Linked DNA regions of Caenorhabditis elegans. The protein of the gene in region 1 interacts with the protein of each later gene in a pairwise test. Each region holds a gene or a part of one and is shown on either strand. Other genes may lie near its edges. The genes, in order: ubc-20, nhl-1 and mgrn-1.

The links.
Region 2: the proteins of ubc-20 (region 1) and nhl-1 interact in a two-hybrid assay, tested with the Caenorhabditis elegans proteins (one study listed by BioGRID).
Region 3: the proteins of ubc-20 (region 1) and mgrn-1 interact in a two-hybrid assay, tested with the Caenorhabditis elegans proteins (one study listed by BioGRID).

What each region holds. Positions count from the first base shown.
Region 1 is NC_003281.10:186,943-190,697, reverse strand, and holds the start of ubc-20 (UBC core domain-containing protein), read right to left. Parts: upstream 1,861-3,755; 5' UTR 1,858-1,860; coding exon 1,738-1,857; intron 1,686-1,737; coding exon 1,590-1,685; intron 1,523-1,589; coding exon 1,440-1,522; intron 1,384-1,439; coding exon 1,257-1,383; intron 297-1,256; coding exon 123-296; 3' UTR 1-122. Other genes in the region: mxl-2 (Max-like protein homolog 2), read left to right, coding at 2,574-2,765, 2,819-2,904, 3,283-3,448, 3,503-3,676.
Region 2 is NC_003281.10:9,152,291-9,156,045, forward strand, and holds the start of nhl-1 (RING finger protein nhl-1), read right to left. Parts: upstream 1,613-3,755; 5' UTR 1,515-1,612; coding exon 1,473-1,514; intron 1,040-1,472; coding exon 930-1,039; intron 1-929. Other genes in the region: Protein irld-34, read left to right, coding at 2,826-2,886, 3,278-3,381, 3,428-3,569, 3,637-3,707, 3,755-3,755.
Region 3 is NC_003284.9:14,309,927-14,313,681, forward strand, and holds the start of mgrn-1 (RING-type E3 ubiquitin transferase), read right to left. Parts: upstream 1,758-3,755; 5' UTR 1,744-1,757; coding exon 1,638-1,743; intron 1,560-1,637; exon of another isoform or gene 1,503-1,559; intron 1,379-1,502; coding exon 1,260-1,378; intron 1,100-1,259; coding exon 879-1,099; intron 832-878; coding exon 717-831; intron 643-716; coding exon 544-642; intron 493-543; coding exon 409-492; intron 132-408; coding exon 1-131.

The DNA.
Region 1 (3,755 bases):
TGCGGGGGGTTGGGGACGAAAATTTCTCGGAAAAAAATGGAAGAAATAAGGGATTTTTAGGACACAAACTTCAAGACAAGAGGCTCACAGAAAAAATTCAAAAAAATCGAATAAAAAAGAATTTAAGAGAAAATGTAGACCGTCGAGCGATTGATGTCCCAATTGTTGCAGCTGAGCACGCTGACAGCCTCTTCCTCACGGACTCCCATATCCTTGAGCTTGTCGACGAGAGCCTGGTATCCGGCGTTTTTCACGGCTCCCTTTGCGAATTTTGTCGTCCAGTACTCGGCGGTGGCCTGAAAAATGGTGGAAATTTAGTATATTAAGAGCATATTAGGCTATTATTCAGTTTATGTTGTCTATGTTTGTCTATTTTCTAGGCTACCTAAAGTTTTCAAGCGTGGAAATTGAGAAAATTCGAATGAAAACCAATTTTTTTTTTGAGATTTCTCGAGTTTTTACACTCACTGGAAACAACGAATTTTCGGGGAAATTCGAGTTTTTAGACTAAAAACAACTTCGCCAAATTTGTTGAGTTTTGGGTCTGCTAAACTTTTTTATAATTTCTTTTTGAAAAACAAATTTCGATATGAGCTGAAAAACTGATTTTTCTCGGCTTCTGGGACAAAAAGTGATGAATTTGAACGATTTCCTGGTTGAAAAACAAGAAAAAACCAGTAAATTCCGCGAAAAAAACTAAATTTAAAGGATAAATACGGGATTAGGGTCTGCTAAATATTTAGCAGACCATACTTGGGTCTGCTAATTATTTAGCAGACCATACTTGGGTCTGCTAATTATTTAGCAGACCATACTTGGGTCTGCTAAATATTTAGCAGACCATCGAAAACCACGTGGCGTTTCTACAAGCCTGCTAATTAGTTGGCAGACCCAAATTCTAAAGAAAATCGGCCAAATTCTGAAATTTCAGGGCAAAAATCAATAATTTTCCGAGAAAATCGTGCATTTCAGTGTAAAACAGTCAGAATTGTCTCCAAAATTCGGGAATTAACGAATTTTGCACGTTTCCCATCGAATTTTCTCAATTTTGACGCTTCAAAACTCGAGTTGGCCTGAAAAATGGGAAATTATAGATAATTTTTGGGGCAAAATACGCAAAAAAACACACAAAATAAGGGAAGATTTGGGTCTGCTAATTACTTAATTACTTAGCAGACCCATATTGATTTTTTAATCGGATTTCGCAATATTTTCCCCATTTTTCCGCGAATTTTCTGAATTTTCCACGCTGCTACCTTGAAAACTGCTGGCTTCTCCATGTATTGCTTGGCGACGACGGCATCTTGAGGATCCTTGGGCTCCGGTGTGCACATCAACGCCTGAATCGACAGGAGAACCGTGCGAAGAGTCAGCGAAGCGGCCCTGAAGTTGAAAATAAATTAAATTTTCCGATTTTAAAATAATAATCGCAATATTACCATTGATCCTTAAGAATATCGAGGCAAATGACGCCGGTCTGCGAGCTGACATTCGGGTGCCAGATTTTTGTGCTGAACTTGACCTGAAAAACCGCGATTTTTACACAAATTTCGACAATTTTCAAGCTTTCCAGGCAGAAAAACTCGTACATTTGGTGGCGAGAATGGATATTGGTCTGGAATCTTAATATCCAAATCGAACATTCCACCGGCGTATGGAGTGTCTGGTGGACCGCGGATGTGTCCCTGAAAACCGATAAAAATTGAGATTTCCGACACACAATTCGCGGCGTTTTACCTTGATTTCGGTGAGATTCTCGTTCAATATCTCGATCATAATTCCGGTTTCGCTGATTTCCGAGTTTGTGACGACCTCTTTGCATTCTCGTTGGAGTCTGTTGAATGCTATGTTCGACATGGTCTGAAAACGATGGAAAATAGTGGAAAAACTCTGAAAAATCGACGAAAATCATGAAGTTCAAGGAATTATCGAAAAAGCTTCGAGAAAGTCTGAAATTATCATCAAAATTATTCAAACACCAACTCATGATAAACAGGGCGCGCCGCGGAATTTCGGAGCATCGTTTGCAACTGAAATTTTTGTTTTTCCCCGAATTTCATCGATTTTTCATCGTTTTTCGTGAATAAAAATCAAAAATCATGTAGAAAAATGTTGAAAAACCAATTTTTATGCGAAAAATTGCTTAAATCACAGTAAAATTGAACAAAAACCCGGAAAAACCGGAGAAAACCGTGCGTTAAGTCGGAGCATCGTTGTCGCCGAGAAAAAACGGGTTCAAACGATCAAACCCGTGATCGGAAGTATCGATTCACAGATTGATTAAGTTTTTATAGGAATTTTAGTTTTTGCATCATGATTTTTCTCAAAAAAGAAAATTGAACGTTTTTGCCGAAATACTTCTAATTTTCTCAAGGTTTAGAGGGAATTTCCATTTGTTTATTGAGAAACCCGTTCAGAAAATATCTAGAATTGATTGAAATCTTCAAAAAAAATCTTGCCAGGGAACAATTAGGTCTGCTAATTAATCAGCAGACCCAAATTTCAAAAATCCGCGTTTTTCTTCGTTTTTTTCCCAATTACTCTACTGAAATTCTCTGTTTTTCAGCCCAAAAATGTCTCGAAGCCGTTCCGCAGCTGCCAGCTCCTCTCAAAAGCCGGACGATATGGACCTAATGTCGCCGGACGGCTCGGCGAGCTCCCCATCGGCCCCAAACACGCCAGCGACGAATTCCGGCGGATTTAGCTCGGATAGAAAGAAGGCGACGCACTTGAGGTGTGAACGGCAGCGAAGAGAAGCTATAAATGTTTGTTGAAGCTTGGAAATTCGTGGAAAAAAGCTAAAATTTCAACTTTTCAGAGCGGATACAGTGATTTAAAGGATTTAATTCCTCAGACAACGACTTCGCTGGGATGTAAAACTACAAACGCCGCGATTTTATTCAGGTACTGGCTGAAAATACTGAAAAATTGAAGGAAAAATAACTGGAAAACATAAAAATTTGGGTCTGCTAAATATTTAGCAGACCATAGTTGGGTCTGCTAAATAATTAGCAGACCATACTTGGGTCTGCTAAATAATTAGCAGACCATAGTTGGGTCTGCTAAATAATTAGCAGACCAACGTGGATTTAGCATACCCAAATTGCGAAATTATCGAATTTTGATGACAATTTCAAGTTTTTTACATTAAAAAGCACGATTTTTTTCAAGAATTTCGTGTTTTTCAGCGGGAAAAATCACAATTCCAGTCTGCTAAGCCCATTTTTTGCTTAAAAACCTTCAAAATTCTGCAAATTTCCCCGAAAATTCAATAATTTCCAGAGCCTGCGACTTCATGTCCCAACTGAAAACCGACATCTCCGACGCCGACAAGCAACTGGCCCAGCTCAACGCACAAGCGGCCGCACTGGAAATGATTGCCTCAGAGTACGAGCAGATGGCTTCTTCGGTTCCTGACGCCGGCCAGTCCACGATTCAAGTCAAAATGGTTAGAATTTACTGAAATTTCCAGATTTTTAAGTCGAAATTCTCCAACTTTCAGCTCCAACTTCTCCTCGACGACTGCTTCACCTCGTTCTCCTCCCAAGTGGACTTCACCACGTACGCAACGATCACCAGAACGCTCCTGTCGTGGGTGGAGAGCCTGGCGCCAAATGCGGAGCCATTCAAGTCGACAGCCGGAAAAATGGTCACAATGCCCTTCACTTCGCCATAGTATTGAGAAGAATTTCCAGATTTTTAATCAACAAATGTATTATTCAACGCGTAAAAATGAAATTTAACAACAAAAAAGA
Region 2 (3,755 bases), 9.0 Mb from region 1:
AGCCCAAAAGCTAGAGCTTTTAATCTAAAAAATTGGCAAACTTATGATTAGGAAACTTCAATAAAAACGTTGAGTTTTGAAGATAATCGCCATTGAGAAAAAATGTTTAAAAACACTCCTAGTGGGCTAAAATACTACGCCAACTCTTCTTACTCGTCTTTCTCAAAAACAAAAAGATTTATAAAAAGTTAGCAAGATAAAACTTGAGAAATTAAACTTGAGAAGACAGAACAAGAAATGGCGAGTTGAAAAATATCATAGTATTACACCTTCTAAGCTTGAAAAACTTTACCCCTACGTTCACTAAATACAATGTTTGTCATGATTGTCTGAGGTCTCGTGCAAAGTTATTCAAATTTTTTACTTTTTTTTATTTTATTTTTGAGACTATAAGTGTATTATTCAAATATTTTACAAGAAAAGGTTCTCGTTTTTAAAATGGATGTTTACATTTGTTCATCTATAACAGATCAATGAAACATCTCTTTTTTTTAATGTTCCACTTTTTACTCTGACGTAGGTTAGTCTATATTTATTGACACAAACGTTGTTGATTTAACCCAAAAATGATCCTCATTTTTAAAAGATCCCTGCAGGATCTTAGATTGTTGATTTCTCCATAACGTTCTCCTAGCTAATCATCATAACAGTCTGTCTGATTTTATTATTGTTTTGATGCACAGTGCGTAAACAACCGGATGTTTATTATGCATCCCCTAAGTCTATCTCGTTTTTTCAAAAAAATTCCCCTCAGCCAAGCGGTACTTAGCCTAGGTCATATGATAACAGTGGTCAGTCAGAAGTCACACGGCCTATGTCTATCCTTGAACTACACACTAATAGTTTGTTTTGGTTGTCCGTGGTGCTTCTTCTTTCAATTTCGTCTGCTCACTTTCAAAACGAACAGCTGATTGAGATCACAGACTTACTTGTAGCGATCGAGACAAATCGGACACGTCAGCAACTGCTCGATCTTTTCGAGAGGATTCACAAAATCAGCTGGTCGACTCGATGGTGGACGTGACATCAGCTCGCGCATCTGAAAGAATCTATGGGTCATGTGGGTTAGAGATGATTGCACTAATCAACTAATCAATGTTGTACAGGGACTTAACTTTTTCTCAAAATCAGTGGAATAACTTTTCATTTAAAAAATAAAAACGTTACTTTAAAGTTGCAATGTCTATTTGAAATAAAGAAAATTTGTACAGCACCTATAGGGAGCTTAAACGAAATATAAAAATTTTGAAAATTGACAAAAATTTTAAATTTAAGTTTTAAAACTCAAAGGACCGTTATAGGGTTACCAATATTTTTAAGATAAAAAATTTCAATGAATGTCTCTAATAATTATTTTTTGTAGATGTTTAAAGTATATTTCATTTCCAGTTGTCCACAAAATTAATTTTTAAATGTTTGGAAAACGACGAATTTAAGATTTTCTTTAAAAAAATAAATTTTTTAGAACAAACCTTTTCGCGAGCTTCTGCTTCATTTTGTGGAGAACTGCTCATAAGGATTGAATTTTAGAAATATTGGAATTTCGAATTAAAAAAAAACAGGATAGAACGAGAAGACGAATCGAATATAATAATAAAGTGGGGTGTACTTGGAGAGTTGGGGATGAGTGTGCCGAGTGCTCCCGGGAGCCAAAAAAGATTTGAGACGCAGAGAAGTTGGAGAAAGATCTGGGGAGCAACAGACGAAAGACGCCCCCAGCCATCTCCTGCAAACACAGCGGCGGCCGATATCAATCGGTGTGCGTGGGGTGCGCGGATCGGATTTTGAAAAGTTCTTGGTTGAGTCTTTTACTGGTTTTTAGGCTTTGTTTGACTATTTACTCATAAGTTTTGAAACCGATGGGAATTTGAAAAAAAGATCAATAAGATATGAGGATATGAACGGCGGGAAGATGCAGCTGGTTTGTTGGTTCTCGAAGATTATGATAACTGTCCTGAACGTTGAAATATTTGAGAAGAAATTGACAAATTGAACTTCAGTATTTATTTTCAGAAGCTTGAAAGTGTAGATTAAAATTAGGATGTTTCTTTAAAACATAAAAATAGTCCGAAATTCAAAAAACCACAAAATAAAATCGAAAAATAAACCGCAGAAAAATGGAAATTCGAACTATTAAAACCGCGATTTTGAATTCCCTCCGAAATAAAAACTTTGACCAATCAGTGATTTGCTCCGCCCACTTTTCAACCAATCAGGACGATTGTGTAGAGTTTGAAGACGTTGAGTGGTTAGAAAATGGGCGTGGCTTATACTTTTGGAAGAAGTTTAAAAATGGAGAACAGTCACAATTGAAACTTGCCTTTTTGGTTTGTTCATTCTTTTTTATTTTTGTGGTATTTTCATAACACTTTGAGTATTTTTCTTTAAAGCACATTTTTTTAAACTTTTCAGGTAATTTGACGATTTGACAATTTCCCGAAATTCCTTTTTTTGTATTTAAAATCATGATTATTTGATTTTTCAAGCGTATGTATGTACTTATTTTGTCTTTTTTGTTGGTAAACTTTTGAAACTAATGATCATATAATTTGAATAAAATCTGAAAGTTCAGCATCCTGCTCTCTATAATTACGTAATCTTCAAAACTCCCACTAACCACCTTTCGACTATTTTTCATTAAAAAAAAACCAGCGAGTGCAGTAGCTAGAAGGCGTGCGAAATTCGCTGGTTACTATGACAATCGCTTTCCGGAGGGTGGGCGGAAATAATAAAAAATAAAGCAGTTTTTGAGTTGGTTAATCTAATCACAAGTTTTGTTTGTCTATCGTCTGGTTGCAACGAAAAAGAGTAACGCGCTGGAATTTATGCAATGGCCACTTATTGCCGCTCTTTTTACTCAGTTATATCACTTTGTAATTGGAGATGGTAAGTGAAAATGAAATAGTAAACATATTACTATTTTAGTTAGTTTTGGTTTAGAGACGAAATTTCGCAAAATGTTGGATAACAATTAAATTTATAAGAAATTACTACTCTCTTCTAACTGTCCAGCTTATCTCGGTTTTTTTTGGTTTTATCAAAAATTTGTTAATTGACAAAATACGCGCTAAATATTGATCTATATTCTGAAACAGTTTTTGAAACAGTTCACTTAAGAAATCCGAAATATGAGCCGTCAAAATAGAGAAATGATGGTGCAAGTCTAATAGGGAAAAAACTGCGTTTTAAATTTTATTTTCCAATTGCCAAATGCAAAAATCTTAAATATCATTCTAATCGGTAATACTTTTGATAACTTTGAATATATCATTTACAGATTGTTATTGCCCATTATGTGAGTTGGACAAATTACCCGACAACTGCACAACAATTCATGGACATATTCAAATGGGTCTCGAGTCAACAATGCCACCGTTTGAGGTTTTATTTATTCAAAACACTATAGGATTCCAATAATTTGTTTAAGATCGTTGAATACAAGCTGGAAAATGTCACAAAAATAGTTGGATGCATAACGATAGCCAACTCTGGTTTCACAAGTCTGTCACTTTTATCAAATTTGGAAATAGTTCAGTACTCACAAACTGGAAATTCTTCTACATGTTCCTGTATGTTCTTTTTGGAAATTTTGAAGACTTTGTAATTTCAATATTAATACTAAATGGTATTTTTCAGCGTACGGAAATATAATAACAATTGCGAAAAATAGTTTATTGCGTAGGTTGTACTTGACAAGTTTGAAGAAGGTAAGCAAATAATAAAACAAAAAATATTGAAATTTGATATTTAACAGG
Region 3 (3,755 bases), on another chromosome or scaffold:
TTACTACATACACATAAATGTCGACACGGGAGAATGACGGTATCACGGATATCTGATAAGCAGATAATGCACTCCAAACCACTGTCGTCATCCATTGTTTCAACTGACTTGTTTTCAATTCCGAAAATTTCCTGAAACGGTTAATTTGACAAATCTGGTTGTAATGCATTTTGAAATCATGTGGTTTTACAAAAATGAAGCTGGAAAATCATTTTAAATTCACAAATTTAACTCTACTCATGATTCACCGAAAAATAAGCGCAAATGCAATCAATCAAGAATAGAAACAGTGAGATCAGCGCCAAAGTTTGGAGAATTCCATTTTTTGGTACTTTTTCTCTCGCCTTGCATGTCTTTATTTTGTACAGAATTTTTAATTGGCTAATTCAAAATAATTCGAAATCATACCTGAAGAAGATATGTGACTCCATCACATGCAATTTTTTGTCGCAAAGGTTTCAACACCAACGCTTTACTGCTGTCGTTACCGGTCTGAAAGAATAACAAGATTTGTCGTTTTCCAACATTTTTACAGAAAAATACCTCAATTGTACACATTGTTGTTTGCATCTGAGTGCTCTCTACGCCTGACGTTGTTATGGAAATGACGAATGGATAGTATAGACCAGAAGAATATGAAAGCTGAAAATAGTAATTAAATTGTGTCTGTTTTGTTTCCAAATTTTTTCAAAAAGAATTCTCGAATATAGACTCACATCATTTGTATCCCATCGTGAGGTATCAAAAACATATCCTCCAAACACCTGATCAGCACCCGTTTCGAAATGAAAAGTTTCAGAGCTTTGTGGTCGGCGATTCCGGTATGCAAATCTGAAAAAAATCAACATTTCAATTACTAATTTACTTCAAAAACTTACTGAATTTCTCCATCGTGATACATTTCCTTTGCGTGAAAGTGTACTTGTATCACACAAGCACTGTCACAATCGAATACAAAAGTGAGTTGGTACAGGTTTGCATTCAACTCTCCGTTATCCTTTTTTACCCGTTGAAATTTAACAGATTCTTTTCGAATATTGACAAGAAGGTTGAGTGGTCTGATTTCATCGTTTCCCAACGGTCCAGGTGGATAAGGAAACTGCAAAAAAATTGTTTAAAAGATGAAGCCGAATTGAAAAGGTGCCGATTAGATTTCTTGAAGTTTTCTTCAGTTCAGTTATTAATTTTTATACTTTACGTTTTCATCATTTTTCCATATTGCTCCTCTATATTTCGAATCAATTTTTATCAAAACTTACACTCAGGGCTCTGGAGCCTAGTTGATCCAGATCGCTATTCTCTCCGAATAGGTAGGCCTCGGGTCGTGCCATTTCGAATTTGCAACCGCACATGAGAAAGTGTGATCCGAAGTACGATCCTGTAAGTTGAAGTATTAATAAAAAGCAATTTACAATTTTTCTTCATTTGTGATTTTAATTTGTATTTTTTGGATAAAAAGAATAGACGTTTTCAGACTAAAAACCGAAAGAGAAACATAGTATAACAAAAAAAAAATTTTAATCTGGTCCTATTGGAGAGTTCTATGCTTCATTTCAACCCATTTTATTAAAATTTTAAAATTTCTTCTAAGAAGGAAATATTCTTGACTAATGTAGCATATACTTTCTAAAACTCACCAGCTGCGTTGGAGAACGTTATCTGTGCTTCGGGGTCCTCATCATCGTGCGAGTTTCCCCGCTCGTGTGTGTTCCTCCCCCGGAACACACTGGCTATCTGACCCATAGTTTGGCCAATACCTGTGAATAAAAAATAATTTATTATTTTAGGAAGTTTTATAAATGCAAAAAAAGGAGTAGAGGAATTGTATTAGAATATTATTAAATGGAAATATGAAATAGCAATTGGTTGATATTATACTTCGAATCTCAGAATCACTAAAATGAAAACCAGAACTGCTTCTGCTTGATTTTTAACATACTTTTATGTTATTTGCAATGATTAAAAAATATATATAATACGCGAGAAATTTGAAACTGGTTTGGCTCGATAAAAAATTGGTGAGAAACCCAAAATATCGTGAAAGAAGCGGTGGAATTAAAATGATTTGAGAAAGTAAATTTTGATAATACGAATTATAATTCGAAAAAATGGTGGTACTTAAAATATAGCAAATAAAACAGGTGAGAAAAAGTTTTGAGGTTTTTACTATATTTTAATCAAACCGTTTGTTTTATTTATTTTCAGGCATCGAAATTTTATGTACTCAAGCTTATAGTAAAAATACAAATATTTGATATATTAAACAGAGATAAAACATAAATAACGAGCTCTAAAAAATTAGCATATTTTGGGAATTAAGAAAACCAGTGAAAGCCGTAAAAATGATCTGAAGCTATGAATAAGTTTGGTTAGAGACTCTATTTCTAGTAGATTACTTTATTATAATAATGAGCAGAAACAGATATTTTTTTAGCATTTTTTCACTTCATCATTAAATTAAAATCATTACAAAAAATCGATAGTCCTTGAGAAGAGAGACACCAATTTACAAGCAGGCAACAAACGAGAGAGAGCGTATTATCGTGTAAACGGTATATACGGGAGAAGAGTACGGGAGACCGACGGAAGAAAAGCAATGGGAGGTGTATAGGGTGGTGGCTGTGTTGTGCCTAGGAGGCAGGAAAATATAACGTTAAAAAGTGCAGACGCAGACACACCAATTGCCCCTCAGACTCCAATTCAGCTGTCTCCGTCTCTTCCTCGTCCTCATCGCACACCCTTAGACCGGTTGCTTAAAAGGAGGAGAAGCAAGTACGCAAGCATTACAAACGACGACATTACTGACCTCTTATAATTAAAGTAATAAATTGTGAAAATGTACACCGTTTTTTATGAATTGCATAAAGCGAATTTATTTATAAAAAGTTAATATATATAAAAGCTACATGTTCACTGATCTACAATTTTTGGTTTCAGATTTTTTTGAAATGTTGTTATCAACAGTCGAACTTTAAATTTTTCTTGAAAACTTGATACATAAATTAAAAATTGAACGATAACATTTGGCTAACTTTTTCCATGTTTGCCTTTGTGCAAAGGTTATCACTTGATTATTTATTTTTTTGAAATCTGGAGCAATAAAAAAAAATAGTAAGGATAGAGATAAATACAAACTGAAGCCCTTATGTTTATTACAAGTTATGACAATTTCAGTGTAGTTTTGAAAATATCAAGTATTGCAGTTAAATTTACAATGCCAAAAAATCTAAGAAACATTACGAAGTTTTCATGAAAATACCTCGAAAACTATGAAAATAGATCAAAGAATATCCTTAAATATGAAAGAATTCAGACTTCATTGGGTTTTGAAAAAAAATGGAAGGGAAAAGGAATCTGATTAAAATCAGTTTTTGGCATTGTAGAAGTATACTTCAATAAGTTTGTTTTCAATGATAGAGCTTAGTCAGTTAACATTCAAGTTAACTTGTAATTGTAACCTGGTAATAAAAAATCAAAAGATAAACAAAAAATATTGTGGAATTATCAAATACAACTAATCGGAAAAAGTTGATTTTGAGGCAAACATAGCTTCATCTGCTGTACATTATGAAAATTTTATTGAAGAGGAGTTAATGAAGTGGTACAAAACACGATGAAATGATAAAACATGAACAAAATCGAGTTGGTCACTATACACTAAACAGGACACGTAATAAGAAAAGTCAATAGGCACGGAGAGACAAAAAGGTCATCCTACAATTGCGGTGGCTAACTGCATCTTAACTACGTCGTAG